Stegostoma tigrinum: one gene and its partners. The protein of the gene in region 1 purifies or fractionates together with the protein of each later gene. This does not show direct contact. Links are inferred from orthologs where the notes say so. Each region holds a gene or a part of one and is shown on either strand. Other genes may lie near its edges. The genes, in order: prpf19, ctnnbl1 and bcas2.

Region 1 (10,580 bases):
ATGATTAAAATGACCAAGCACTAAGGGTTTATTTCTAGAAGGTTAGAATCGAAGAGTAGGGAAGTTGCTTCAAACTGTATTGAACCTTGGTTAGATCTCGGATTGTGTGCGTAGCTCCAGGCACAATGTTACAAAAAGGGATTGGAAGTCATCAGAGACAGCATGGGTACAACTTGCATGGACGATACCAAAATTAAGAGAGTATACATATTAGGAAAGGATCAACAGCTGGGCTGGACCTCAAGGTCACAGGAAGTGGTTTGAAGAGATGAGTACAGATGCACTGAAGGTGGACCAGTATTACTGGCCCCACGACCAGTACAACTGGACTCCAGAATGGTATGATCGGCCCCCCACGACCAGTACAACTGGACTCCAGAATGGTATGATCGGCCCCCCACGACCAGTACAACTGGACTCCAGAATGGTATGATCGGCCCCCACGACCAGTGCAACTGGACTCCAGAATGGTATGATCGGCCCCCCACGACCAGTACAACTGGACTCCAGAATGGTATGATCGGCCCCCCCCACGACCAGTACAACTGGGCTCCAGAATGGCATCATCGGCTCCCACGACCAGTGCAACTGGACTCCAGAATGGTATGATCGGCCCCCCACGACCAGTACAACTGGACTCCAGAATAGTATGATCAGCCCCACGACCAGTACAACTGGACTCCAGAATGGTACGATCAGCCCCACGACCAGTACAACTGGACTCCAGAATGGTATGATCGGCCCCCACGACCAGTACAACTGGACTCCAGAATGGTATGATCGGCCCCCACGACCAGTACACCTGGATTCCAGAATGGTATGATCGGCCCCCACGACCAGTACAACTGGACTCCAGAATGGTATGATCGGCCCCCCACGACCAGTACAACTGGACTCCAGAATGGTATGATCGGCCCCACGACCAGTACAACTGGACTCCAGAATGGTATGATCGGCCCCCACGACCAGTACAACTGGACTCCAGAATGGTATGATCGGCCCCCACGACCAGTGCAACTGGACTCCAGAATGGTATGATCGGCCCCACGACCAGTACAACTGGACTCCAGAATGGTATGATCGGCCCCCACGATCAGTACAACTGGACTCCAGAATGGTATGATCGGCCCCCCACGACCAGTACAACTGGACTCCAGAATGGTATGATCGGCCCCCACGACCAGTGCAACTGGACTCCAGAATGGTACGATCGGCCCCCCACGACCAGTACAACTGGACTCCAGAATGGTATGATCGGCCCCCCACGACCAGTACAACTGGGCTCCAGAATGGCATGATCGGCTCCCACGACCAGTGCAACTGGGCTCCAGAATGGTATGATCGGCCCCCCACGACCAGTACAACTGGACTCCAGAATAGTATGATCAGCCCCACGACCAGTACAACTGGACTCCAGAATGGTACGATCAGCCCCACGACCAGTACAACTGGACTCCAGAATGGTATGATCGGCCCCCACGACCAGTGCAACTGGACTCCAGAATGGTATGATCAGCCCCACGACCAGTACAACTGGACTCCAGAATGGTATGATCGGCCCCCACGACCAGTACAACTGGACTCCAGAATGGTATGATCGGCCCCCACGACCAGTACAACTGGACTCCAGAATGGTATGATCGGCCCTACGACCAGTGCAACTGGACTCCAGAATGGTATGATCAGCCCCACGACCAGTACAACTGGACTCCAGAATGGTATGATCGGCCCCCCCACGACCAGTACAACTTGGACTCCAGAATGGTATGATCGGCCCCCACGACCAGTACAACTGGACTCCAGAATGGTATGATCGGCCCCACGACCAGTACAACTGGACTCCAGAATGGTATGATCGGCCCCACGACCAGTACAACTGGACTCCAGAATTGTATGATCGGCCCCCACGACCAGTGCAACTTGGATTCCAGAATGGTATGATCGGCCCCCACGACCAGTACAACTGGACTCCAGAATGGTATGATCGGCCCCACGACCAGTACAACTGGACTCCAGAATGGTATGATCGGCCCCACGACCAGTACAACTGGACTCCAGAATGGTATGATCGGCCCCCACGACCAGTACAACTGGACTCCAGAATGGTATGATCGGCCCCCCACGACCAGTACAACTGGACTCCAGAATGGTACGATCAGCCCCACGACCAGTACAACTGGACTCCAGAATGGTATGATCGGCCCCCACGACCAGTACAACTGGACTCCAGAATGGTATGATCGGCCCCACGACCAGTACAACTGGACTCCAGAATGGTATGATCGGCCCCCACGACCAGTACAACTGGACTCCAGAATGGTATGATCGGCCCCCCACGATCAGTACAACTGGACTCCAGAATGGTATGATCGGCCCCCACGACCAGTGCAACTGGACTCCAGAATGGTATGATCGGCCCCCCACGACCAGTACAACTGGACTCCAGAATGGTATGATCGGCCCCCCACGACCAGTACAACTGGGCTCCAGAATGGCATGATCGGCTCCCACGACCAGTGCAACTGGACTCCAGAATGGTATGATCGGCCCCCCACGACCAGTACAACTGGACTCCAGAATAGTATGATCAGCCCCACGACCAGTACAACTGGACTCCAGAATGGTACGATCAGCCCCACGACCAGTACAACTGGACTCCAGAATGGTATGATCGGCCCCCACGACCAGTGCAACTGGACTCCAGAATGGTATGATCAGCCCCACGACCAGTACAACTGGACTCCAGAATGGTATGATCGGCCCCCACGACCAGTACAACTGGACTCCAGAATGGTATGATCGGCCCCCCACGACCAGTGCAACTGGACTCCTGAATGGTATGATCGGCCCCACGACCAGTACAACTGGACTCCAGAATGGTATGATCGGCCCCCCACGACCAGTACAACTGGACTCCAGAATGGTATGATCGGCCCCACGACCAGTACAACTGGACTCCAGAATGGTATGATCGGCCCCCCACGACCAGTACAACTTGGACTCCAGAATGGTATGATCGGCCCCCACGACCAGTACAACTGGACTCCAGAATGGTATGATCGGCCCCACGACCAGTACAACTGGACTCCAGAATGGTATGATCGGCCCCACGACCAGTACAACTTGGACTCCAGAATGGTATGATCGGCCCCCACGACCAGTACAACTGGACTCCAGAATGGTATGATCGGCCCCACGACCAGTACAACTGGGCTCCAGAATGGTATGATCGGCCCCACGACCAGTACAACTGGACTCCAGAATGGTATGATCGGCCCCACGACCAGTACAACTGGGCTCCAGAATGGCATGATCAGCCCCACCACCAGTACAACTGGACTCCAGAATGGTATGATCGGCCCCCACGACCAGTACAACTGGACTCCAGAATGGTATGATCGGCCCCACGACCAGTACAACTGGACTCCAGAATGGTATGATCGGCACCGTGACCAGTATTACTGGTGTTCCAGCCAGTATTATAGCATGGTGGTGCTCAGATACCCTTGATCTCGGTGTCCATGTACACAGATCCTTGAAAGTTGCCACCCAGGTTGACAGGGCTGTTAAGAAGGCATACAGTGTTTTAGCTTTTATTAATAGAGGGATCGAGTTCCGGAACCAACAGGTTATGGTGAAGCTGTACAAAACTCTGGTGCGGCCGCACTTGGAGTATTGTGTATAGTTCTGGTCACCGCATTATAAGAAGGATGTGGAAGCTTTGGAAAGGGTGCAGAGGAGATTTACTAGGATGTTGCCTGGTATGGAGGGAAGGTCTTACGAGGAAAGGCTGAGGGACTTGAGGCTGTTTTCATTAGAGAGAAGAAGGTTGAGAGGTGACTTAATTGAAACATATAAAATAATCAGAGGGTTAGACAGGGTGGATAGGGAGAGCCTTTTTCCTAGGATGGTGACGGCGAGCACGAGGGGGCATAGCTTTAAATTGAGGGGTGAAAGATATAGGACAGGTGTCAGAGGTAGTTTCTTTACTCAGACAGTAGTAAGGGAATGGAACGCTTTGCCTGCAACGGTAGTAGATTCGCCAACTTTAGGTACATTTAAGTCGTCATTGGACAAGCATATGGACGTACATGGAATAGTGTAGGTTAGATGGGCTTCAGATCGGTATGACAGGTCGGCACAACATTGAGGGCCGAAGGGCCTGTACTGCGCTGTAATGTTATACATTCTGTGAATAGTGGTAGTTCCCTATGGGTTTGTAAACAGACTCTGTGCCCAACAGTCACTGCCTGGCATTGGTGAGCTGGCGAATCGAACTCACACTGTTGCATCTCTCCCCGCTCTCAACACGGGGTTGTGGGGGTGGGGGGGTGCGTGGACAGCGTACCTTGCACCCTCACGTCATGTTCGTCAAAGCTTTGCTGGATGATGCGCAAAGTGTGCAGGGGACCCTGAAATTCTGCCATGGGGTCATCGCAGATAAGTCGGGCCAGTGGGCGAGGTTGCAATCGGGAAGTTTCGCTTGGAATAACAGAGAAATGCTCCATCGTTTAAGCAGTGAAGGATTGCAGGGTGTGCTGTGCAGAGGGATCTGGGTGTCCTTGTGCGCGAGTCACAACAAGGAAGCTGGTTTGCAGGTGCAGTGGGTACTTAAGGTGGTAAATGGGGATGCTGTCCATCAGTGCGATAGAGGGATGGCGTTTAAAAGCAGGGAGGTTTATGTTGCAGCTGATCAGGCCACTCCTGGAGGACTGCATCCAGTTTTGGTCTCCTCCCTTGAGAAAGGATGTACTGGCACTGCAGGGGTTTGCAGAGGGGGCTCACCCGGTTGATCCCGGAGTTGGGAGGGTCGGATGACGAGGAGAGACCCCGGGGTCGGGAGGGTCGGATGACGAGGAGAGACCCCGGGGTCGGGAGGGTCGGATGACGAGGAGAGACCCCGGGGTCGGGAGGGTCGGTGACGAGGAGAGACCCCGGGGTCGGGAGGGTCGGTGACGAGGAGAGACCCCGGGGTCGGGAGGGTCGGTGACGAGGAGAGACCCCGGGGTCGGGAGGGTCGGATGACGAGGAGAGACCCCGGGGTCAGGAGGGTCGGATGACGAGGAGAGACCGTGGGGTTGGGAGGGCCGGATGATGGGGAGAGACCCCGGGGTCGGGAGGGTCGGATGACGAGGAGAGACCCCGGGGTCGGGAGGGTCGGATGACGAGGAGAGACCCCGGGGTCGGGAGGGTCGGATGATGGGGAGAGACCCCGGGGTCGGGAGGGTCGGATGATGAGGACAGACCCCGGGGTCGGGAGGGTCGGTGACGAGGAGAGACCGTGGGATTGGGAGGGCCGGATGACGGGGAGAGACCCCGGGGTCGGGAGGGTCGGTGACGAGGAGAGACCCCGGGGTCGGGAGGGTCGGTGACGAGGAGAGACCCCGGGGTCGGGAGGGTCGGTGACGAGGAGAGACCGTGGGGTTGGGAGGGCCGGATGACGAGGAGAGACCGTGGGGTTGGGAGGGCCGGATGACGGGGAGAGACCCCGGGGTCGGGAGGGTCGGAAGACGAGGAGAGGTTGAGCTGTCTGGGTCTATACTCAGCGGAGTTGGGAAGAATGAGGGTAAAACGATGAAGGGAATGGGTAAGGAGGGAGCAGGAGGCTGCTCCCACTGGAAGCTGAGACGAGGAGCCGGGGGGCAGAGTTGAGGAGGACCATCTTCTCCCAATGGGTCAGGAAACCCGTGGGATCCCCTGCACAGTTGAGGGGACCATGTTGAAAGCTTCGATAAGGCAAAGGCAGATGTTTGACCAGTAAAGGGAGTTAGGGTCATGGTGAGGGGTGCGGGTAAGCTGGGCTTTACCCACAGGAAGAGGTTGGCCATGATCTTATGTAATGGTACAGCAGTATTGAGGGGCCGAATGACCTGCTCCTGTGAACTGCCTGTTAGGTCACCACCCCACCGCTAGGGGTCACGCTCTCCCTCCCCCCCCGCCCCAAACCATTCCCACGCAGCCGCAGCTAGGTGATGACGTTCTCTGCAGTCCACCGCACTTTTGTCACCGAGCGTTGAGACGTTTCCTATTGTCCCCGCCCCTTTCCCCCCACTTTTGATGACGTCACTTCCGCACCCCCCCCCCACTCCGCCCAATCCTTGCGGGATGGCTCCTACAGTCTCCGCCCCTTTTCACCCAGCGTGATGACGTTACTACATTCTTCACCCCGGCCTCCCGCCACGGGCGAGATGACGTTCGCTGCATTCTCCACCCCAAAACCCAAGCGTGATGACGCCGGCTCGGCCTGCTGTGTTCATCCAGCCCCACACCTTGTTATCTCGGATTCTCCAGCATCCGCAGTTCCCACTATCTCTCACATTCCCCGTTCCCCAAACGTGATGACGTTCTCCAGTCTCCTCCCCTGCAACTCAACACCGATGACGTCTCCTACCTCCCTCCCGACCCATCATGCGCGTGACGACGTCCCTTCTTCCCCGCCCACCCCACGCGCGTGATGATGTCCCTGTTTCCCCGCCCACCCCACGCGGCGTAATGACGCCACGCTCTGGCCACGCCCCTCCAATGACGTGACCTCTCCTCCCGCCATTTCCCAGTTGCCCCGGGAGCCGCCGCCGCCGCCATCATGTCGCTGCTGTGTTGGAGTAAGTGGGAGCGGGGGCCGGGGGCAGGAAGATACCCCCCTCCCCCGGGAGCGGGGCAGAGAGAGAGAGAGGCCGGGGTGTGGGGGGAGACCGGGAACTCAAGGAGCGGAGTGGGCCTTGCGCCTCATGGACAGTGGGAGCACAGGGCCCGGGCCTGAACTGGGGCCTGGGCCTGAGCCTGAACTTGAACTGGGGCCTGGGCCTGAACTGGGACCTGGGCCTGGGCCTGAACTGGGGCATGGGCCTGGGCCTGAACTGGGGCCTGGGTCTGAACTGGGGCCTGGGCCTGGGCCTTAAATGGGGCCTGGGCCTGGGTCTGAACTGGGGCCTGGGCCTGAACTGGGACCTGGGCCTGGGCCTGAATTGGGGCATGGGCCTGGGCCTGAACTGGGGCCTGGGTCTGGGTCTGAACTGGGGCCTGGGCCTGGGTCTGAACTGGGGCCTGGGCCTGGGACTGAACCTTAGCCTGGGTCTGAGCCTGATCCTGGGCCTGGTGTTGGGAGTTAACAAGGTGTGGGGCTGGATGAACACATCTGAACCTGGGTGTGATGCTGCTTGTCCTGCTGTGTTCATCCAGCCCCACACCTTGTTATCTCACATTCTCCAGCATCTGCAGCTCCTGTTACCCCTCTGCTCCTCTGATGCTGCTTGTCCTGCTGTGTTCATCCAGCCCCACACCTTGTTATCTCACATTCTCCAGCATCTGCAGCTCCTGTTACCCCTCTGCCCCTCTGATGCTGCTTGTCCTGCTGTGTTCATCCAGCCCCACACTGCGTTATCTCACATTCTCCAGCATCTGCAGTTCCTGTTACCCCTCTGCCCCTCTGACGCTGCTTGTCCTGCTGTGTTCATCCAGCCTCACACCTTGTTTTCTCAGATTCTCCAGCATCTGCAGCTCCTGTTACCCCCTTGCTCCTCTGATGCTGCTTGTCCTGTTGTGTTCATCCAGCCCCACACCTTGTTATCTCACATTCTCCAGCATCTGCAGCTCCTGTTACCCCTCTGCTCCTCTGATGCTGCTTGTCCTGCTGTGTTCATCCAGCCCCACACCTTGTTATCTCACATTCTCCAGCATCTGCAGCTCCTGTTACCCCTCTGCTCCTCTGATGCTGCTTGTCCTGCTGTGTTCATCCAGCCCCACACCTTGTTATCTCACATTCTCCAGCATCTGCAGCTCCTGTTACCCCTCTGCCCCTCTGATGCTGCTTGTCCTGCTGTGTTCATCCAGCCCCACACTGCGTTATCTCACATTCTCCAGCATCTGCAGTTCCTGTTACCCCTCTGCCCCTCTGACGCTGCTTGTCCTGCTGTGTTCATCCAGCCTCACACCTTGTTTTCTCAGATTCTCCAGCATCTGCAGCTCCTGTTACCCCCTTGCTCCTCTGATGCTGCTTGTCCTGTTGTGTTCATCCAGCCCCACACCATGTTATCTCACATTCTCCAGCATCTGCAGTTCATGTTACCCCTCTGCCCCTCTGATGCTGCTTGTCCTGCTGTGTTCATCCAGCCCCACACCATGTTATCTCACATTCTCCAGCATCTGCAGCTCCTGTTACCCCTCTGCTCCTCTGATGCTGCTTGTCCTGCTGTGTTCATCCAGCCCCACACCTTGTTATCTCACATTCTCCAGCATCTGCAGCTCCTGTTACCCCTCTGCTCCTCTGATGCTGCTGGGCCTGCTGTGTTCATCCAGCCCCACACCTTGTTATCTCACATTCTCCAGCATCTGCAGCTCCTGTTACCCCTCTGCTGCTCTGATGCTGCTGGGCCTGCTGTGTTCATCCAGCCCCACACCATGTTATCTCACATTCTCCAGCATCTGCAGCTCCTGTTACCCCTCTGCTGCTCTGATGCTGCTTGTCCTGCTGTGTTCATCCAGCCCCACACCTTGTTATCTCACATTCTCCAGCATCTGCAGCTCCTGTTACCCCTCTGCTCCTCTGATGCTGCTTGTCCTGCTGTGTTCATCCAGCCCCACACCATGTTATCTCACATTCTCCAGCATCTGCAGCTCCTGTTACCCCTCTGCTGCTCTGATGCTGCTTGGCCTGCTGTGTTCATCCAGCCCCACACCTTGTTATCTCACATTCTCCAGCATCTGCAGTTCCTGTTACCCCTCTGCCCCTCTGATGCTGCTTGTCCTGCTGTGTTCATCCAGCCCCACACCATGTTATCTCACATTCTCCAGCATCTGCAGCTCCTGTTACCCCTCTGCCCCTCTGATGCTGCTTGTCCTGCTGTGTTCATCCAGCTCCACACCTTGTTATCTCACATTCTCCAGCATCTGCAGCTCCTGTTACCCCTCTGCTCCTCTGATGCTGCTTGTCCTGCTGTGTTCATCCTGCCCCACACCTTGTTATCTCACATTCTCCAGCATCTGCAGCTCCTGTTACCCCTCTGCTCCTCTGATGCTGCTTGTCCTGCTGTGTTCATCCAGCTCCACACCATGTTATCTCACATTCTCCAGCATCTGCAGCTCCTGTTACCCCTCTGCTCCTCTGATGCTGCTTGTCCTGCTGTGTTCATCCAGCCCCACACCTTGTTATCTCACATTCTCCAGCATCTGCAGCTCCTGTTACCCCTCTGCTCCTCTGATGCTGCTTGTCCTGCTGTGTTCATCCAGCTCCACACCATGTTATCTCACATTCTCCAGCATCTGCAGCTCCTGTTACCCCTCTGCTCCTCTGATGCTGCTTGGCCTGATGTGTTCATCCAGCTCCACACCTTGTTATCTCACATTCTCCAGCATCTGCAGTTCCTGTTACCCCTCTGCTCCTCTGATGCTGCTTGGCCTGATGTGTTCATCCAGCTCCACACCTTGTTATCTCACATTCTCCAGCATCTGCAGCTCCTGTTACCCCACTGCTCCTCTGATGCTGCTTGTCCTGCTGTGTCCATCCAGCCCCACACCTTGTTATCTCACATTCTCCAGCATCTGCAGCTCCTGTTGCCCCTCTGCTCCTCTGATGCTGCTTGTCCTGCTGTGTTCATCCAGCCCCACACCGTGTTATCTCACATTCTCCAGCATCTGCAGTTCCTGTTACCCCTCTGCTCCTCTGATGCTGCTTGTCCTGCTGTGTTCATCCAGCCCCACACCTTGTTATCTCACATTCTCCAGCATCTGCAGCTCCTGTTACCCCTCTGCTCCTCTGATGCTGCTGGGCCTGCTGTGTTCATCCAGCCCCACACCATGTTATCTCACATTCTCCAGCATCTGCAGCTCCTGTTACCCCTCTGCCCCTCTGATGCTGCTTGGCCTGCTGTGTTCATCCAGCCCCACACCTTGTTATCTCACATTCTCCAGCATCTGCAGCTCCTGTTACCCCTCTGCTCCTCTGATGCTGCTTGGCCTGCTGTGTTCATCCAGCCCCACACCTTGTTATCTCACATTCTCCAGCATCTGCAGCTCCTGTTGCCCCTCTGCTCCTCTGATGCTGCTTGTCCTGCTGTGTCCATCCAGCTCCACACCTTGTTATCTCACATTCTCCAGCATCTGCAGCTCCTGTTGCCCCTCTGCTCCTCTGATGCTGCTTGTCCTGCTGTGTTCATCCAGCCCCACACCGTGTTATCTCACATTCTCCAGCATCTGCAGTTCCTGTTACCCCTCTGCTCCTCTGATGCTGCTTGTCCTGCTGTGTTCATCCAGCCCCACACCTTGTTATCTCACATTCTCCAGCATCTGCAGCTCCTGTTACCCCGCTGCTCCTCTGATGCTGCTTGTCCTGCTGTGTTCATCCAGCCCCACACCTTGTTATCTCACATTCTCCAGCATCTGCAGTTCCTGTTACCCCTCTGCTCCTCTGATGCTGCTTGTCCTGCTGTGTCCATCCAGCTCCACACCTTGTTATCTCACATTCTCCAGCATCTGCAGCTCCTGTTGCCCCTCTGCTCCTCTGATGCTGCTTGGCCTGCTGTGTTCATCCAGCTCCACACCATGTTGTCTCACATTCTCCAGCATCTGCAGTTCCTGTTACCCCT
Region 2 (10,324 bases), on another chromosome or scaffold:
AGCCAACACATTCCCACAGTACATACACTGTTTTTTTAAGCATCTCATTTTCTTATCTTAACTGACTGTTCCTGCCAATCAACACGCCTACCCCTGCTTTTTGTGATTTATAAACAGAACTTGCAAATACCTCTGCACTGTAGCTTTCTGCAGTTGTTATCGAAGTAAATAATATTCAGCTCCTCTATTCTTCCTGCCAAAATCCATAGCTTCACATCATATTCCAATCACAAAGTTTTGGTCCACTGACTTAACCTTTTATATTCGTTTGTTGACTTCTTGTGTCACCTTAACTACTTGCCTTCCTACCTTGTGTCATCTGCAAACTTGGCTATAGTGCATTCATTTCCCTCATCGAAATGATTATTGCATTTTGTCAATAACTGTAACTCAGGCACTGATCCCTGTGACACTGCGCTAGTCACAGGCGAGCATCATGAAAACATCCCCAGTATCCCAACGTCTGTCTTTTATTAGCTAGCCAATCCTTTGTCCTTACTAATATATTCCTCCAAACATGATGTGCTCTTATCTTAAGAAGTAGCCTAATGTAAGGTACATTATGAAATGCCTTGTCGAAATCCAAGTATATTACATCCACTGCTTTCCCTTTATTTATCCTGCAATAGGGTTAGGGTTCTCAAAGAACTATAGTAAATTTCTCAGGCATGGCTGCCCCTTCATGAAACCACGTTGACACTTTATAATAAACTAATATATTCCAAATAACAGATGTTAAGCTAACTTGCCAATAGACTATTTTTATGTCTTCCTTCCTTTTTGAATAAAGGCGTTACGTTCGCAACTTTTCTAATCACTCTTCCAGAATATAAGGATTTTTGGAAGATTACCAGTTGTGCATCCTCTATCTTTAATAGCTACTTTAATAAATATCCGAAGATGCTCTCCATCAGGTCTTGACAACTTTCTGGCTGTTAGCTTCCTTAGTACATTTTCTTTCGTGATGGTTATTGGATTTATTTCATTTCCCCCTTTTTCTCCTTGATCATTCAGTATTTTTGGAACATTATTAGTGTCTTCTACGGTGAAGATTGGTGCAAAGTATTTATTCAACTCCTCTACCATGTCCCAGTTCCACATTAGTATTACTTCCCCAGCCTCTTCCACTTAGGGAGCTGTGCTCACTTTGGCCTTTCTCTTCCTTTTAGTATATTAAAAATAAACTTGATGTCAAGTTTAATACTTCTTGCAAGTTAGCTTTCAGGTTTATTTAATCCCTCATTTTTATGTTGGTCACTTCTTGCAGTTTTCTAAACTTTCCCAAATCTCTGGCCTACCACTAATCTTTGCCATATTATATTTCTGCTTTCAATCTGATGCTATCCTTAAAACCCCTACGCTTGGCTAATTCCCTTCCTGGAACCCTCCTTTATCACTGCAATGTGTTTTTCAACTGATGAACTATATTCTTAAAAGTATACTCAGGTTTTCTCTGCTAAACTTCTTTTCTAGTCCACAACAACTGATTCTGCCCTTATTTCTTTGTAATTACCCTTAGATTTAACATAGCTGTTTCTGACCCAAGTTCTCCCTTTCAAATTAAATTCTAAATTCTACCATGTATGGTTACTGTTTTCTAGGAGATCCTTTACTCTGAGATAATTTAATAAACCTGTCATTATACATCAAATCTAAAACAGCCTGATCCCTAGTTAGACCCGCAACATATTGTTCAGGGAAACTGTCCAAATATGCTCTGAATTCTTCCTCCTGGTTACCTCTGCAAATCTAACATTGCAACCCACATGCAGATTAAATTCACCCAGAGTGGCATGGTGGATCAGTGGTTATCAGTGCTGCCTCACAGCACCAGGAACCCGGATTTGATTTCAGCCTCAGGTGACTGTGCAAACTCCACACATTTTCCACGTGTCTGCGTGGTTTTCCACTGGGTGCTCCAGTTTCCTCCCGCAGTCCAAAGATATGGATGGGTGCTAAATTGTCTATAGTCTTCAAGGACGTGTAGCCTAGGTAGTTTAGCTATGACGAATGCAGGGAAGCGGTCTATGGGACACTATGGAGAGTTAGTGCCGACTTAATGGGCCAAATGGCCTCATTGGGGATTCTATGATTGATATACTACCTTTTTTACATAGTCATTAGCTCCTGATTTATTCTCAGTCCTGTTATATTGCTACTGTTAAGAGGCCAAAATATTACTCCTGTCAATGTCTTCTCCTCCTTGATATTTCTTACCTCCATCCTCATTTGGATTCTACATTTTCTAATCCAAGATCATTTCTTGCTTTTGCATCTATTCCATCCTATACCAACAATGCTACCCCACCACCCTTTCCCTCCTGCCTCTCCTTTTGAAAAGACATTTATCCCATAATACACAGTTCCCTATACTAACTTCTTTGTAACCATATCTCCACAGTGGCTGCAAGGCCATACCCAATAAATTCTATTTGTGCCATTAACTCATTTATTTTGTTCAAAATACTATGTGCATTCAAGCGTGGAACCATCAGTTTTGCTAATCACTTTTGTCCCTTTGACCCTATTTGCTGATGTTTTTCTACGTTTGTACACTTATCCCTCCTGTTGCATGCTGGACATCATTAATGTCTGCCCTGTAATGTGGCTACATCATTTGTTTTACAAGCCTACAGTTCACAATACCAGGCCTCAAATAATGTTTCCTGTTTGGTTACAGAAAGAACCCCAAGAAACTGTTCAAAATACAATGTTCATCCCCAGGCAATTTTTGTCTATTGCTTTCAACTAATATGAAGAGTGAAGTCTCCCCAATTTTGAGTGACTGTTATAAACTCTATTACTTCTTGATTTACAATGCACCCTTCAGTTTAACCCTTATGTACTCCCAATGACTTCTTTCTTTCACCATTTCTTATCTCCATCCAAACTGATTTTACATCTTGATCCTCTGAATCAAGATCAATTCTCACAACTGCACTGATTTCATTATTTATTAAAAGAGTTATCCAATTCCTCACCCTCCTTCCTGACTTTCCAAAGTGTTGAACATCCTCAAATATTTAGGTTCCAGCCAGTCATTTTGCAACCACATTTCTACAATGGCAATCAAATTATACTCAGTCATTTGTATTTGTATTATTAATTTGTCCATTCAGTGCACATTTAGAGAAATAATTTTCAATCTGCCTTTTCACCATTTATATCCACAACTATATTTGCATGTGAATTCACATTAGCCAAAAAAAATCATCTTGCCAGTATACTCCTATATTTGTGTTCTATTCCACTTGACACACTCTAGTCATCATTATCAAAGCTGCAATCCTGCATCACTGTTTCACCCTTTTTTTAACCTTCTAAGTTTACCCTCACGTGAACCTTTCTCGCACTTCACTGTCACACACTAAGATTATATTTCAGTACTACAGCAATTCTGTTTTCCATCTTATGACGGGCAAGATGTTATGTGCCATATGTGTTTTGTATTTAATATTTCTACATTATAGTACTGAAAATTAACATCATGGAATAACTTCTCATCACTATGCCAGGCACAGTGGCCTGTTGTTTGACAAATATGTCACCTCTCTGTATCAGGAATTTTAAAGCGATTCAATTAGAAGGTGAAACTCCTAAGCTGGGGCTGATGACTGTAATATTGTGGCTATGGAAAGATGGTTTATTGATATTTTTGAATCAACCTGATCAGAGACGTCATTACACACCTGTGGAGCTGATAGAACCTAAAATTGATCAACGATGGAGCCCCACGTGAACTCGAAATCGTGTGGCAGGAAAAAGAGGGCTCCCTGTCAGTTACTGGCGATGCAGCCACAACTCGAGTGCCAGGCTCTGCGGCCTCGCTTGTCTCGGAACCGGCCGGAGTGGGGATATGGAGCGGCTTAGACTGACTGAGCGTAGACAGGGGGCCCGAAAGAAGGAGGAGAAGCTGCTGCCTCACCTGATAGTTCAGCAATTCGCCCACATCCATATCAGCACTGTCGCAAGAAGCTAAAATGTCCCCCCACCGCTCAGGTCCCTGCCACACTGCCGTATGTCCCAAACGGTCGTAAATGACCGCCAATTGTCGTAAAGGCTCCAAGTTCAGCCAGGAATGATCTTAGAAAGTCTCAGGTTAAAACCATCGTACGGTTTTTAACACTTTCTTTGCTAATGAAACTTCACTGATGTGTCTTTCCGAAGGGAAATTTAGCATTGATTTTAGTGAGCTCTTCAAACAAATAAAAATCTGAAATAGATTTAAAAGCAGAACTTTTCTTGTACTGAGATAGTAGGAACTGCAGATGCTGGAGAATCTGAGATAACAAGGTGTAGAGCTGGATGAACACAGCAAGCCAAGCAGCATCAGAGGAGCAGGAAAGCTGACGTTTCAGGTGGGAACCCTTCTTCAGAAAGGTTTAGACCCGAAACATCAGCTTTCCTGCTCCTCTGATGCTGCTTGGCCTGCTGTGTTCATCCAGCTCTATACCTTGTTATCTCAGATTCTCCAGCAGCGGCAGTTCCTACTATCTCTATAACATATATGTGTTTAGTTTTCCCAAGCAGAGAAAACTAGTTCATAAACAGTGAACACTTATTAAAAATTGAAAGAAATATAAGAACTGTTTCAACTGAAGGTTGTGTTTTGGGTCCTTAATCTTGAGGAACTATAGAGCCTGCTTTGCCATGTGGCATGATGGACCAGTAGACCTAGGAGACAACGGTTCTGTCAGAATCCTGAATGGGGAAAGGTGAGGAATAAGGTTTGCTGTAACAGTATGGGTGGCATAAATGATTAAGAATGATCATTGAAAGTGAACACTAGTGGGTTGGAGGTGAAGACAAGGTGGACTATATTGTAGTTCATTATAAGAGATAGTAAGAACTGCAGATGCCGGAGTCAGCGATAACACAGTGTGGAGCTGGAGGAACACAGCAGGCCAGGCATCATCTGAGGAGCAGGAAAGTTGATTGGGACCCTTCCTCATTTCGCCTTTTACCAAAGTTGTAACCTATGTTATTAACAGTCTTCATCTGTCAAGACTCTGTTTATTGATCAGTTTAAGGTTTGCATCTGTTAGTGTGTGTATTTCTTAGCTGGTTCCTGGGTACTTAAATGTTACAATTAAGTTTTAAAATATCTAAATTTTCTAATTGTCTTTCTATAATTGGAAAGCAACAGAGTGATGCAGACAAACCTCACTGAACAAAAGCAGTCAGCCAGGAATGAGGGACAGCATTGAGTGGAAAGTGGAGGACAGCATAAGAGAGAAATCTGGGATGGGAACACCATGAGTGGAAATACATGGGATGTATGGAAAGGGGTTTAGGGATGGCATAGGAAGTAGGACTGGGATCAGGTATGTAATGGGGATGATATTAGAAGAATAATAGGAATAATCAGAAAGAACTCCAAAGGTGTCAGATGATGCATTTTGGGAGATCAAATGCAAGATAAAATTATACAGTTAATGCCAGGGCCTTTAGGAACACTGATATATGGAGGGATCTTGGGTTGCAAGTCTATAGCTGCCGAAAGTGGCAACACAAATGTAAGGATTGGAGATTCCTTCCCTAAAGGGTGTTAGTGAACCAGATAGGTTTTTCCCAACAATTGATAATGGATTCATAGTGATCATTAGACTTAATTCCAGATTTTTATTGAATTCAAATTCCATCATCTGCCGTGGCAGGATTCAAACCGAGGTCCCCAGAACATTAGCTGGATCTCTGGATTAACAATGCAGCAATAATACTACTAGGCCATCACATGCCCTAATTGATCTCTATAGTTTTATTTTCATTCATTTACAGGATGAGGGCATCACTGGGTTTTTTCCCCCAAGAATTGACAATGGATTCATGTTCATCTCAGGATTCTTAGTTTAGATTTTGTTTTAATTGAATTCAAATTGCACCATTTGCTGTGGCAGGATTTGAACACAGGTCCTCAGAACAGTATCTCAGTATTGCTGGATTGTTAATCCAGAGACAGTACCACGAGGCCATTTCCTCCCCAATAGTTGTCAATTCAATTTTTTTCTTTCATGAATATCAAATCTTGCCTTATTTGCATAATATTAGTCACTTCAGCCTGTGGCAGTGACTTCCACATTTTCACCTCTCTTGGTCATGTGTACTAAATTTCTGATCGTTTTGAACTGAAACCATGCTAATCTAATGATGCTTGATCTGTTTTCTCCATCCGTTGTAAATGTGGCAGTATAAATATTTTAGTCATTAACGTCACAGGTATATCCTGCTGGGCACATATGTGAATTACATGCTTACTTGGAAACTGCATCCTCTTATGACTTTCTGACCTCTTAATATAAAACAATTGTCTTCATAGAGCAGAACCAAAATCTGGCTCCATATAAAAATTCCTATTCCTCAATGGTAGTAGACATTTTTTACATTTGATGATATCATTCGTAATTCCCTGTCACATGGCAGAGATAGGCTTCCTTTCATGAGATAGAATTGTGGTTCAGGGCATCAGCATTGTCGTCACCTTGATCAGATCTGTACTTTATCTATTGATGAAAGGGGAAATGCAATTGTGCTTGATGGGTTTTCTGTTCCTGCTGCCCATAGGGGCAATATCACTGAAATTGACCAATTACTGTTGCAATTTCAGCACCATTTTGATACATCTCTTGGATATGATCAGCTTTGGGAGGAAGGACAGCAAAAATGTGGATCTGTTTCACTTGTTTCTTCAACATGACACTTGCATATTCAATAACACCAACTCATCTGTACGCTAGTAGCTTCCCTCCTGTTCTAAGTAATCCTGTCTTTTCCCATTATCTTGATAATGTGATTACGTGCCCCAAAGAAGGACAGCTAGGGCTTGTTACAGATAAGCGTTCTCAGCTCCATCTGGACATTTCACCCCTGATTGCATCAGTTAAGCGAATTTTCAACTGAGTGTCCCTGTTGGTTTGAAGGAAGGAGGACAATTCTGTCAAGCAAACTTACAGGTTCCAGGGATACCGAGACCATAACCTCTCCTTCAGACTGCCTTTATCTGTAAAATATAAGTTGTGGATGCAATTGTGAACTCTTTTTGACATTAATACTGAATCATAGAATTGTTATGGTACAGAAGGAGGCCCTTTGGTCCATCATGTCTACACTAACTTTTCAAATGAGCATCATTACCTCAAGCCAATCTTCTGCCTTTTACTCATATCACTGCACACCATTTCTATACAAACAATCATCCAACACTCTCTTGAATGTCTCAACTAAATTTGCCTTCACCACACTTCCAGGTACTGCCTTCCATATCCTAATTACTTGCTGAGTGAAACAGTATTTTTCTCACATCACCCTTGCTTTTTTTTGTACATCGCTTTAAAACTATTCCCTCTTGTTCTTGAGATAGTAGGAACTGCAGGTGCTGTAGAATCTGAGATAACAAGGTGCAGATCTGGATATACACAGCAGGCCAAGCAGCATCAGAGGATCAGGAAAGCTGATGTTTTGGGCCTCGACCCTTCTTCAGAAGCGACAGCTTTCCTGCCCCTCTGATGCTGCTTGGCTTGCTGTGTTCATCCAGCTCTACATCTTGTTGTCCCTCTTGTTTGTGTTCCTTTTATGAACAGAAATGGCTTCTCTCTATCTACTCTCTCTAATTTGGTCATATTTTTTGAAAACCTTGATTAAATTTCCTCTCAGCCTTCTTCTCTCCAAAGAGCATAGTCTCAACTTCTTCAGCCTATCTTCATAACTGAAAATTCCTCATTCCTGGAGTCATTCTTGTGAATTGTTTCTGAATATTTTCCAATGTATTCTCATGTTTCCTGCAATGTAATGCCCACACTGTTAAACGAGTGTCTTGTACAAGTTCAACATCAACTCCTTTTACTGTGTGCTATTTTTAATAAAGGCTAGGGCACTGTATGCTTTATTACTGCTCTCTCCACTTGTCCTTCAATGATTCTTATACATATACACAGAGGTCCCTCTGCTCCTGCACCCTCTTTAGAATCGTACCCCCAATTTTACATTATCTTTCAATGATATTCCTACCAAAATATACTTCTCTGTATTGAACCTCATCTACCACCAATTAACCCACTCCATCAAACTGGTTAATGTCCTTTTGGAGCTCCAGACTATCCTCCTCACGGTTTACAATTTTTCTGAGTTTTGTGTCACCTGCAAACTTTGAAATTGTCCCCTGCACACCAAGATCCAGATCATTAATATGTTAGGGTGACATGGTGGCACAGTGGTTAGCAGTGCTTCCTCACAGTGCCAGGGACCTAAGTTCAATTCCAGCCTTGGATGACAGCCTGTGTAGGTTTCTGCCAGTGCTCTGGTTTCCTACCACAGTATGTAAAATTGGCCTGTAGCATGCAGGCTAGATGCATTAGCCATGAGGTGTCATCAGTTGCAGTGGCGGTGATGGGTCTGGGCAGGATGCTGTTTGGAGGGTAGATGCAGACTTAATGGGCCAATAGTCCTCTAGCTGCATTGTAGGGATTCTATAATGTCAGGAAAAATGAGGGCCCCAATACTGACCTCTGAGGAGCTTCACCATAAATATTCTTCCTGCCCAAAATATACCCATTTACCATTCTCCATTTCTTAATGCTCTGCCAATTTTGTATGCACATTGTTACTGTTCCTTTTATACCATGACTTTTCCTCAGAAGTTTGTCATGCGATACTGGATAAAATAACTTCTGCAAATCCATGTATATTACATCAACAACATGACCCTCATTAACCCTTAGTTAGTTGAACACAATTTCCCCTCTACAAATTAGTGTTGATGCTTCCTAATCAACACCCCTTTTTTCACGTGATAACAAATTCCATCCCAAATCATTGTTTCTGGCAACGTCTTCACCACCGATGTTAAACTGGCTGACCTATAATTGCTGGGATTATCCTTACAACTTTTCTTAAACAATGATGTAAAATTCACAATTATCCATTCTTCTGCTACCTCATCCAAGTTGAGAGAAGACTGAAGATGATTGCCAGTTTCCCCCTGATATCTACCAATACTTCCTTCAAAATCCTTGGATGCACCTTATCCAGTTTTCTAAAGAAGGGTCCTGAACCGAAACATCAGCTTTCCTGCTCCTCTGATGCTGCCTGGCCTGCTATGCTCTTCTACCTCCACACTGTGTTATCTCTTACTCCAGCATTGGCAATTCTTACTATCTCTCATCCAGTCCTGTGCCTTGTCAACTTTAAGTACTGGCTGATTATCCAAGACTTCTTTATTCATTAGAACCCTTCTAGTGACAAAGTTTCCTCTTCTGTTACCATGGCTTAGGCAGCATCATCTTCTTTTGGAAAAGGAGGTAGAAAATTATTAATTTAGCACCTCTGCTATGCCCCCTTTTTGGTCTCTAATTAGCCCTATTATTCCTGTAACAACTCTCTCACTATTTAAACGCCTATAGAGAATTTTGGGATTCCCTTTTGTGAAATGTGCTTGTTAGTCTAATATCTTGCCATGGTATTTCACTATGACATTTTCCAAGTAGATGTTAAATCAAGGTTGCGAACCTACTCTTTTACTGAGGCGCCTGGAGAATGCAATGAATATTTATGCATTGCCGATCTAACATTCAGCTGAAGAATCTCTTGACATTTCCAGTCTTCCTCCAAATCTAACCAACTTCCTTCCCGTCAGTAAATAGAATGTTTTCTCTTTGTTTTTTTTTCTGCTGAGCTCAGAGAGGACACATAAGAAAGGAAAGGGAGCCCTTTTCTTTTTTTCAAATTTAACATCAACTTTATCCTTCGAAGCCCGTAAGTCCACCAGAGTAAGGTTGCGTGAGCCTCCTTCATTGACCTGACCAATTTCAGTCACTATACCATACAGCTCATCTTTGCCCAAGTACTTTTCCATCTCTGCAGACATGATTAATGCTACTGAAAGTTACGAGACATTTAGATATGACGTTGTCAGGCCTGTAAGGTGATGCGGCTGCTCTGGATTGTGTCGGCCACATGGAAACCTGTTTGATGCATGCACTGTGAAATCCTGCTGACTGCAGCAAAATATTGGAAACCAAATCCACACAACGTATAAAGTTCTGGGGAAGGGTCACCGGACCGGAAATGTTAACTCTGATTTCTCTTCACAGATGCTCCCAGACCTGCTTAGCTTTTCCAGCAATTTCTGTTTTTGTTTCTGAACATATGAAGGTCTGGTTCTATGATGCTTTATTGCCCTGACATCAAAAAATTTGAGATTTATTTTAATGCTATGGAAAACATTTAAGTTCACTGGAGTTCATCTCCAGATCTGAGCTGTTCTGAACTGGCCCTTGCATACCCAAAGCACTGGTACCACATTCCAGCCAGAATCACTCTTTAATCCCAG
Region 3 (10,141 bases), on another chromosome or scaffold:
TGCTGAATTAAAATTTTCCATTAATCCATCTACAGTCTCCAGCATTTTCCCAATTTCTCTGCTTGCGATGCCATCTATGTGCAATGCCATCTAATTGTTATTGAAACCAAGCCTTGATATTGTTTTCTGGAGACATGTAAATTATATAAGTGGAAAAGAAACTCCAGCACAAGTCTCAACAAGACACCAATTCCACATCACATGCACCTAGAAGACGCTTATCTTGTCCTCTGTTTCCCAATAAAGAAAGCAAAGAAAATTAAGATGTTTTGATCAGATTATACAAAGTCTGGATTTTGGGGAAAGGGCAGACTGTGACACTGAATGAATTTCAGTTTTTAACATTGCAAAAGACAATTCTGAGTTGAAGACAAATGTGATTCAATTTCTGGACAGCAAGGCTGCAGGGAGAAAGCAGCATGTATAAGGCACAGCACTGGAAGTTTAAGTATGACACTTGATATAAAAGGATCAATGATGATCGACAGAAGGTGGAAAAAGTAGAAATACAACACTAGCATTGGGATGTTGGCAAATAGAAATAAAGGAATCACTATTTACTAAGCTTTCTTTGTTGAATAAGAGTCACTATATAAATAAGAGCAGCATTCATGTCCTCGGCAATATGAGAGTTCTAGAAAGTTAGTGAACTGAAAAATAATTGATACAGGAAGAGGAGGAAAACAACAAGCTTTTAGGACACAGGTTTTAAAAGAGCTAAAGTCAAACTTAAAAATCGAGGCAATTTCAAGCCCAATCATATCTACTGAAAAAGGCAAAAAGCTAGAAATACAAAAGCTAAAATATACCACAATGGTACCTCTATTCGAGACAAAGAAATTAGATTTACATAACTGATGGACAAAATTTTTAGCAATGCAATGCAATAGACAACCATTATTAGAAGACATAAGGCTGGTAGTGAGAAAGAAACATAGCTCAAAAATCTGGAAGCAGAACCAGTATAGGTGGAAATTAGGATTAGTAAGTGCCAGAAGTCACCTGTGGCAGTACATTATTGGCTCCTTAACTGTAGAAACTTATTTTTTCAAATCAACCTGTTTGGATATGTTATTACACACCTCTACAGCAGGAGGGACTTAAACCTGGGCCTCATGGTCTAATGGTCTGGACACTGCCACTGCACTAGAACAGGGCACGCTGAAACTAGAGACCATTTTGTGTCATTGCTTATCCATGACTTGGTTACAAAAATGAGGCAAAGAATTAAATAAGGAACTATTAGAAACTGCAATAAAAGCAATATAAAAATTGGTGGGATATATACCGAACTAATATCAAGTTGTCAAAAGCAGTTGAGGAAGATGAATTTCTAGAATGTTTTCATGTTGGCTTCCTGAAACAAAACCTATGGTGTTATTCCACAACGTAAAAGTTACTTTATATCTAATATTCTGCAACAGAATGTCTGCCGGCACCCCCAAGATGTGCATGGGCAATAACACTGCCAGTACTGCTAATATCATTACGCACGTTTGCTTTTATTCATTGTGCTTATTTGGGCACCACGTGTTTTACCAAGAAAGCATTTCATTAAGTATGTGCAGAACTTTCCACACATGGAATGTGAACCTTTCAGGGGTATCATGAGAGTCTTCGTTCAGTGGGGTAAGGTTAATTAATAATCTCAAAGTAAAAGATCAGGTGGGAAACAGTAATCATAACACAACTGAATCACATACTTGGCTTGAAAGCAACATACTTAGATTGCAATTAAGAATTAAATTTAAAAAATAAAGCCAATTACAAAAGGAGTTTCAAAGCCATGAGATCATATTGCAGCTATACAAGAGTCTGGTGCGGCTGCACTTGGAGTATTGCGTACAGTTCTGGTCGCCCCATTGTACGAAGGATGTGGAAGCATTGGAAAGGGCGCAGAGGAGATTTACCAAGATGTTGCCTGGCATGAAGGGAAGGTCTAATGTAGAAAGGCTGAGGGACTCGAGGCTGTTTTCGTTAGAGAGAAGTTTAACAGGCAACTTTAATAGAGACATGCAAGATGATGAGAGGATCTGACAGGGCGGACAGTGACAGCCTTTTTCCTGGGATGGTGATAGCTGGCACGAGGGGACAAACGTTTAAATTGAAGGGTGATAGACATGGGACAGATGTCAGAGGTAGGTTCTCTGCTCAGAGTAGTAAGTGTGTGGAATGCCCTGCCTGTAACAGGAGTAGACTCGCAACTTTAAGGGCATTTAAATGGTCATTGGATAAACATATGGATGATAATGGAATAGTGTAAGTGGAATGGGCTTCAGATTGGTTTCACAGGGTGGCACAACATTGAGGGCTAAAGGGCCTGTACCGCACTGTAATGTTCTATGTTCTATTAGGAACAAGTTGGCAAAGATCGATTAGGTGAAAAGACTGATATGCACAGTAGTAAACAAATAGTTGGAATCAATTAAAGAAACAACTCAACACAGCCAACGAAAATAAAAAGCATCTTGCAAATAACAGTAATTCTGACAACTACCAGCACTTAAGAAATCAGGAAAAGGTGACCAAAAATTGAGAGAGAAAATGGAGGAGAGATGGGGAGCGAAGGGAGTAGGGGGATGGGGGCGGGGGGGGATGGGGGGAGGGGGGGGATGGGGGCGGGGGGGGGGGGATGGGGGCGGGAGAGATGGGGGCGGGGGGGGAGAGATGGGGGCGGGGGGGGGAGAGATGGGGGCGGGGGGGGGAGAGATGGGGGCGGGGGGGGGAGAGATGGGGGCGGGGGGGGGAGAGATGGGGGCGGGGGGGGGAGAGATGGGGGCGGGGGGGGAGAGATGGGGGCGGGGGGGGAGAGATGGGGGCGGGGGGGGGAGAGATGGGGGCGGGGGGGGGAGAGATGGGGGCGGGGGGGGGAGAGATGGGGGCGGGGGGGGGAGAGATGGGGGCGGGGGGGGGAGAGATGGGGGCGGGGGGGGAGAGATGGGGGCGGGGGGGGAGAGATGGGGGCGGGGGGGGAGAGATGGGGGCGGGGGGGGGAGAGATGGGGGCGGGGGGGGGAGAGATGGGGGCGGGGGGGGGAGAGATGGGGGCGGGGGGGGGAGAGATGGGGGCGGGGGGGGGAGAGATGGGGGCGGGGGGGGGAGAGATGGGGGCGGGGGGGGGAGAGATGGGGGCGGGGGGGGGAGAGATGGGGGCGGGGGGGGAGAGATGGGGGCGGGGGGGGAGAGATGGGGGCGGGGGGGGAGAGATGGGGGCGGGGGGGGAGAGATGGGGGCGGGGGGGGAGAGATGGGGGCGGGGGGGGGGAGAGATGGGGGCGGGGGGGGGGAGAGATGGGGGCGGGGGGGGGAGATGGGGGCGGGGGGGGGGGAGATGGGGGCGGGGGGGGGGAGATGGGGGCGGGGGGGGGGAGATGGGGGCGGGGGGGGGGAGATGGGGGCGGGGGGGGGGAGATGGGGGCGGGGGGGGGGAGATGGGGGCGGGGGGGGGGAGATGGGGGCGGGGGGGGGGAGATGGGGGCGGGGGGGGGGAGATGGGGGCGGGGGGGGGGAGATGGGGGCGGGGGGGGGGAGATGGGGGCAGGGGGGGGGAGATGGGGGCAGGGGGGGGGAGATGGGGGCAGGGGGGGGGAGATGGGGACAAGGTTGGGGTGGCAGAGGGGTGCAAGGTGGAGGCAGGGGTGTAGGTGGGGGCAAGGTGGGGGTGGGGAATGGGGGCAAGGTGGGGGTGGGGAATGGGGGCAAGGTGGGGGTGGGGAATGGGGGCAAGGTGGGGGTGGGGAATGGGGGCAAGGTGGGGGTGGGGGTGAAGGAAGAACAAGGGAGGGGGATGTGGGTAGGGAGACAATGGGGATGCCGTGTTCAATAGCAGCTGTTGGTGGAGGCTACAGCCCCGAGGCCCACGAAAGGACATTTCATTGCCGCTGTCGATCAGAATGATCACAGTCCCCCGGCTGACCAGACGTATTCGCCCCGACCCAGGCACTCACCGCCTCTCGGACCCCCGGCGCATCGTAACCCTGATCAAAATACGGCAACGCGTCCACCACCACATCGCCGGCCACCGCCAGCGGCCCCGCCATCTTGAGCGCCCTCAGCTCACCGCGCCTGCGCGCCTGGTAACCCCCATCCAGAAGCGCGTCCAGAATCCCACCGCTGAAGGTCTGCCTGCGCCTGCGCGCTGAATGCTGCCGTCCCTTCGGAGCATGCGCGCTTTGTATCAACTTGCAGCTATATCCCTCACTGGGTGAAGTGTTGGCAGGGTGCAATTGGGGTGTCCTCCTTAGATCACTCTTCGTTGGCCACCCTGACCAGCAGCTCCCTCAATATGAACCTGAAAACAATAATCACTGTACCAAAGTAATAAAATGTGAGGCTGGATGAACACAGCAGGCCCAGCAGCATCTCAGGAGCACAAAAGCTGACGTTTCGGGCCTAGACCCTTCATCAGAGGGTCTAGGCCCGAAACGTCAGCTTTTGTGCTCCTGAGATGCTGCTGGGCCTGCTGTGTTCATCCAGTCTCACATTTTATTATCTTGGATTCTCCAGCATCTGCAGTTCCCATTATCACCAATCACTGTACCAAAGTTTTCCGAAGAAGTGTCCCAGCCCGAAAAGTTAGCTTTCCTGTTCCTCTGATGCTGCTTGGCCTGCTGTGTTGATCAGCTCTACACCTTATTACTACAAAAGTTAATGCTGTTTATCTATAACATGCATTGCAGAAATTCACCAAGGCTCCTTGGACAGCACCTACCAAACCCGCCACCACTTCAGAATTAAATGCACACCTCAAGCACGGCACAACAAAATTTCCTATTTAACCATGTATTCCCACATAGAACATGGAACGTAGAACAATATCGCGTAAAACAGGCCCTTCGGCCCTCGATGTTGCGCCGACCTGTGAACTAATCTAAGCCCCTCCCACTACACAATCCCATCATTATCCATAATTTTACATCATTTGTGTATGTGATTGACCACGCATGAGCAGTGGCATTTGTCAGCAATAACTGAAGACCCTCTAGCCAGTTTATGCATGCATAGGTGGCCAAAGTGATAATTTTATCTGTTTTTGACCCAATTACTCTGTTTTTAAAGTTGCTGCTTGGCATAATGTCAATATCAAGTGTTGTAAAGCATAGGTTGACCCCCCCCCCTCCCCCCACCATGAGAACAAAAACCAAAACACCTAAAGAGGACCACCTCAGCCTATAATCTGTTAAGGGTGTAACCTGTCTTTCAGAAGTTTATAATGGTTAACTCAAGTATCCCTGACATTCATTTTACAATCAACAATTCATTTATCTAACTAATACTGAATAAATTAACTAAAGTATTAACAAACTGAACAAATCCCTTCTGACAGCTAACTATTCCTAAATAAAGCAAGATTTTAATGGTATGCTGTTCCAATAAATATAAGACCCATTTATATGACAAATCAATTGAATTTAGTCTCACAAAATTACAACCAGTTTATGCCTTCCAGAATGTTCTGTGTGTTCTCCATTGATTCTTCTGTCAGGAACCTTAGCTAGGAGTGCCATGGTACCGTTGTGAATAGATGGTGTTTCTCTAAGAGCTGAGAGCTGTTATCTCTAGCAGATAGCGGTTAGCTCTGCCAATTTTCCAACTGCTACCTTCTTGTATACACCTATGACTTATCAATTTCTTACAACTGGAATGGTCCTAGATTGTCAAGGCCGTCAGATTCAAATTTAATAGGTTTTTGATATCTAAGTACCAAGTTCAAATTGATTGGCTAAATTCAAAAATCTGCTTCCTTGGTAAAAATGCTGCTTGGCCTGCTGACGGTACAGCTTTGTGACGCAAATGTTTCAATTCAGGCGTTCTCTGTTCTTGCAAGGTTTCAAGCTGCTCACAGACATCTCTAAGCATAGAAAAAGCACAACCTATTAAAAGACCACCCAATGCTTTGTCCCCTAGCATTTTACAAACATTAAATTCTGCAAACACTAAATTCTAATGTGTTGCCTCCCAATTCATAGCTACTCTACCCAACCACACCACATGAGCCAAAACAAGGCTTGTAACCTTAATTTGAAATTAGAGCTGGGCCTTTCATGGAGTATAACAGTGGTGTTTCTCCAAAATGTAGTTGAAGCTGGGAGTCAATTGGAAGTGTCAAAATTGAAGCTGATCAAACTTTGCTCGGTAAGGTATCAATGGGTATGGAACAATGAAATTGAGATACTGACCTGGTTTGATAAGCAGAAATTGGAATAGGCCTGTGGTAATTGGAATGAGATTATTCAGCTGGATCTCAGAATATGAGCTCCCTGGTTGAGGCTGTTAATCTGGTCCAATAAGGGAGCCCTGGCAGACAGATAAAGAAGGGTGAGTGTCAGAGATACTGACAGTCTGGTGCCTGAATCTGTATGAGGCGGGACCATAGCCAAAGACTGTAAATAAAGGTCACTTGGTGATGGATAACAGCCTCAAGGCCTACTTAATGATCTGCTCCTAAATATATGCGTTTAATAGCAAGAAGCGCCATTGTGAAAGTTGCAAATATAAATGCTGCTCTTGAAGGTTATAGCTTCTGGTCATAACAAGGTCAGGCAGTTAGCTGGCCAATACTCAGGTGTTTCTGTTCGTGTGAGGGCAATTCTGTTCACAACCAAACTTACTTATTTACTGTGATGGACTGGGCTTCCTTAGGAATCACACTGAAGAATGGTAAATAATGAAATCAATATATTTTTCAGATTTTGAATTATGAGTACATTTAATATGTACAACACATTGCAATTGGCACAACTGATGCTAAACATTCTTATATGACAAGTAACAAAACAGAACATGCTCCCTCAAGTTCCCTGACTCATAATTGTTAAACTCCCAAAGTTACCTAAGATTTGGTTGGGAGAGGTAGAGTAACATAGCAATGGATTGAGTATTCTGCAGTCAAGTTGTGTCTTTTCTGGTCATAGTACTCCTGTTCTTTAGGTTATGTAACTTCCTTTGCTCCTTATTGTTGAGAAAGAAAGAGAGAGAGAGAAACCGCTCTGATTTATCAATCTTGCAGACCTCTGTGCCTCATGTTCCTTCCTTCCTTTCTGTATTGATTGTCATGACGGCAGCCAGATGGGCCTTATAAAATATGAGTTCCCTGATTGGGGCTGTTCATCTGGCCGAATGGCGAAGGTCCTGCCTGACAGACAAAAGCAGGAGTGCCAGACATCCTGTTCAATCTGAGAGTTGGCTCTGAGGCAGTTGGATCAGTGTCAAAGACTCTCCATGTGTAAATAAGCGGTGACTTGCTGATGGGATATCAGTCTATGTGAAGTTAATTCACTGGTAATGAGATTAAAGCACACTCCTGAAGAAATTCACTCCCAACAGTCATTTCTGAGTGAGAGTAAGCATTTGCAGCATCATGCTGCTATTGGCAAAGCTTGACTTATTCAATCCTGCTATTGAAGACTGGGCCCAGTATGTGGAAAGAATGCATTTTTTTTTTCTGGCCAAGTGACATTGTGGCAGGCGAAAAGCAATTAGTAATTCTCCTTACAGCTTGTGGACACACAGCTTTTTTGGTGATCCTGGCACACAAGCCATTGTATTTGCAGCCAGTGTGCGGACTTCCGCATCCATCGCATTATCCTTCGCCATTTCTGACACCAACAATCTGACCCCCCTCACCAAAGTGATACTTCCCTCCCCACCCCTATCTGCCTTTTTTAGGGACTGCTCACTCCACGACTGCTTCGTCCACTCCATACTCCCCACTAACATCACCACACATGGCACCGTTCCCAGCAACAGCAGGAGCTGCTACACCTGCCCTTACACGTTCCGTCTCACGTCTGTCCAAGGTCCCAAACAATCTTGTCAATTTTGACTGGGATTCACCTGTGCATCCTCCAACCTGGTCTACTGTATCCGTTGTTCCTGATATAGCCTCCTCTACATCAATGAGACCAACGCAGACTCGGTGACTGATTCAAGGAGCATCTGTGCTCTGTATGCTCTAAGCAACAGCACCTCCCAGTTTCCAACCATTTTAACTCCCTCTCCCACTCTCTGGGTGACATGTCCATCCTGGGCCTCCTTCAGTGTCACAAAGGTGCCACATGCAAGCTGAAGGAACAGCACCTCACATTCTGCCTCAGGAGGCTACAATCTGATGGCCTCTACATAGAAATCACCAGTTTCAAAATCTCCTCACCCCCGGCCTCACCCCATGTCCAACCCTCCATCTCATCCCTGCCTCCCTGACCAGACACAACTTGTCCATCTTCTTTCCATCTGTCCGCCCCACTCTTCCCACTGACCAATCTCCACAATTCCCTACCTGCATCCACCTCCCACCATCCCACCTACGTTCCACCGGCCCCACCTCCCTATTTATTTCCGAGCTCCTTTCCCCATTCCTGGTGAAGGGTGTAAACCCAAAACATCGACTTCCTTGTTCCACTGATGCTGTCTGACCTGCTGTACTCCTCAAGCTCCATGCTGTGTTGATGTGGTCCTGGTTCCTATATAAATTTAGGACTACTCCTCATGCAACTATCAGGATTGTTCCAGTAGAATGGGGAGAAGACTCTGCACCAGGTTAAATCTGATCTTGGGAAGGATGAGAAGGATGAAACGGCATCAGAAATCTCAATGTTGGGCACAAGACTCCTGTAAGCAAGAGAGACAGTTTACATCAGGGATCAAAGTTTGGTGTAGCAACCATGGGAATGGCCCTGCATGGGTAAGACACATGGTCAATGTGAGGTCAGATTCAGTGACATGTAAAGTTTGGGTAGGTATGTCAGTCCTGAACAAGCAAGTGGACCATATGAAAGCTGCAAACTCGCAAAATGTGCCTCGCTCCTCAGAATAGTCAGAACCTTTGGATCCCCCATCTCTGTCAAGCATTGAAGATGCCTGGGAATCTGAGATGGATGCGGCCGATGTCACCGCTTCAAAGTCTTTGCCGTCTGAAGAGGAGGATGAATTTCTTCTGAGATGCTCCATGCAAAAGATGTGAGCTACTGTCCCTTACACCCTGCCTGTATAAGGGACAGAATCAGAGGTACATGACCCGGTGCTGAAGTTCCCCAGGACTGGCCTATGTCCTTGAAATCAGAGGGGACGGGATGTAGTGATTGTATTGAGGTCAGCCAGGTGGACCCCATAGTCTAGCTGGTATTGCAGAACAATGAACTCCTGAACTCAAATATTAAATGATTTGTGAAATGCCTTCCAATGGGCTCTGGCACTTCTTTAATTGCATCAGACCAGTGGATATCATTGCCTCCCTAACCAATTCAGTACAGTGATGAGCTGATCGATGTCTCCATTGAGTTGAGTTAGATATAGCTTAGTATTTGAAAAGCTCCGTCCTTTCTGGTCTTGGGACCTACAGCATGCATTTCAAACAGGGCCCCTTTTCCCAAAATTGGGATATTCCCAGGTGCAAATCTTGGATTAGAATGAAAAACCTTCAATACTGGGTTAGGACTGGAGGCTTTTCCACTTGTTAGTTTCAGTAGATATTCTAGGTAAAGGCCTGGAACAAGAGATAAAAGTCACAGGTTATTATTCTTAAGCAACTGTACATCCTCAACAGCTGGTGCCGTGGAGACCATTCTAGGACAGTAATCTCTCTAATCCCACAGTAAACCGAAGAGCTGGTCACCACTAAAACAAGAGGGGAAATCAGATATCAGTTGAGGGAAACAATTCCTTTGCTCAGAGGGTGGTGAACCTGTGGAATTCTCAACCACAGAGTGCTGTAGAAGTCAAATCACTGAATATATTCAAGGAAGAGGTCAATAAATTTTGAGATTTTAAAGGCATCAAGGGGTATAGGGAGAAAGCAGGAATATGGCATTGAGACAAAGGATCAGCAATGATCCCACTGAATGGCGGAGTTGGCTCAAGGACTGAATGGCCTACCTACTCTTAATTTCTATTTTTCAATGACAGTGCAAATGATAATGTGTCATGAGATCATCTCCACCAAACACTAAATAACATTAGTGGCATTTAAATGATAGAAAAGGTGATTTGTGTATACACTTCTTTCTATGGATCACATACATTTCTTTCTGTGCATTATTTTGCCTTGCCCAGCATGCCTGTTGTGGCCAGGCAACCTTCTTTCTTCTTGGGTACAGTGTAGCTCAGAGATGGCGTCTGGCATTGTTTAAATGGCCAATGGCGGGG

Evidence for each region.
Region 2: the proteins of prpf19 (region 1) and ctnnbl1 purify together in Homo sapiens (affinity purification with mass spectrometry; 4 studies listed by BioGRID and IntAct, counting the BioPlex papers as one, with this or other methods). This does not show direct contact. The link is inferred for Stegostoma tigrinum from reciprocal best matches to the Homo sapiens genes PRPF19 and CTNNBL1.
Region 3: the proteins of prpf19 (region 1) and bcas2 purify together in Homo sapiens (co-immunoprecipitation; 10 studies listed by BioGRID and IntAct, counting the BioPlex papers as one, with this or other methods). This does not show direct contact. The link is inferred for Stegostoma tigrinum from reciprocal best matches to the Homo sapiens genes PRPF19 and BCAS2.

What each region holds. Positions count from the first base shown.
Region 1 is NC_081399.1:7,395,451-7,406,030, reverse strand, and holds the start of prpf19 (pre-mRNA-processing factor 19), read left to right. Parts: upstream 1-6,530; 5' UTR 6,531-6,583; coding exon 6,584-6,602; intron 6,603-10,580. UniProt on the Homo sapiens protein: Ubiquitin-protein ligase which is a core component of several complexes mainly involved pre-mRNA splicing and DNA repair. Required for pre-mRNA splicing as component of the spliceosome.
Region 2 is NC_081372.1:47,969,375-47,979,698, forward strand, and holds the start of ctnnbl1 (beta-catenin-like protein 1), read right to left. Parts: upstream 4,029-10,324; 5' UTR 3,956-4,028; coding exon 3,926-3,955; intron 1-3,925. UniProt on the Homo sapiens protein: Component of the PRP19-CDC5L complex that forms an integral part of the spliceosome and is required for activating pre-mRNA splicing.
Region 3 is NC_081374.1:41,695,109-41,705,249, forward strand, and holds the start of bcas2 (pre-mRNA-splicing factor SPF27), read right to left. Parts: upstream 4,083-10,141; 5' UTR 4,039-4,082; coding exon 3,946-4,038; intron 1-3,945. UniProt on the Homo sapiens protein: Required for pre-mRNA splicing as component of the activated spliceosome. Component of the PRP19-CDC5L complex that forms an integral part of the spliceosome and is required for activating pre-mRNA splicing.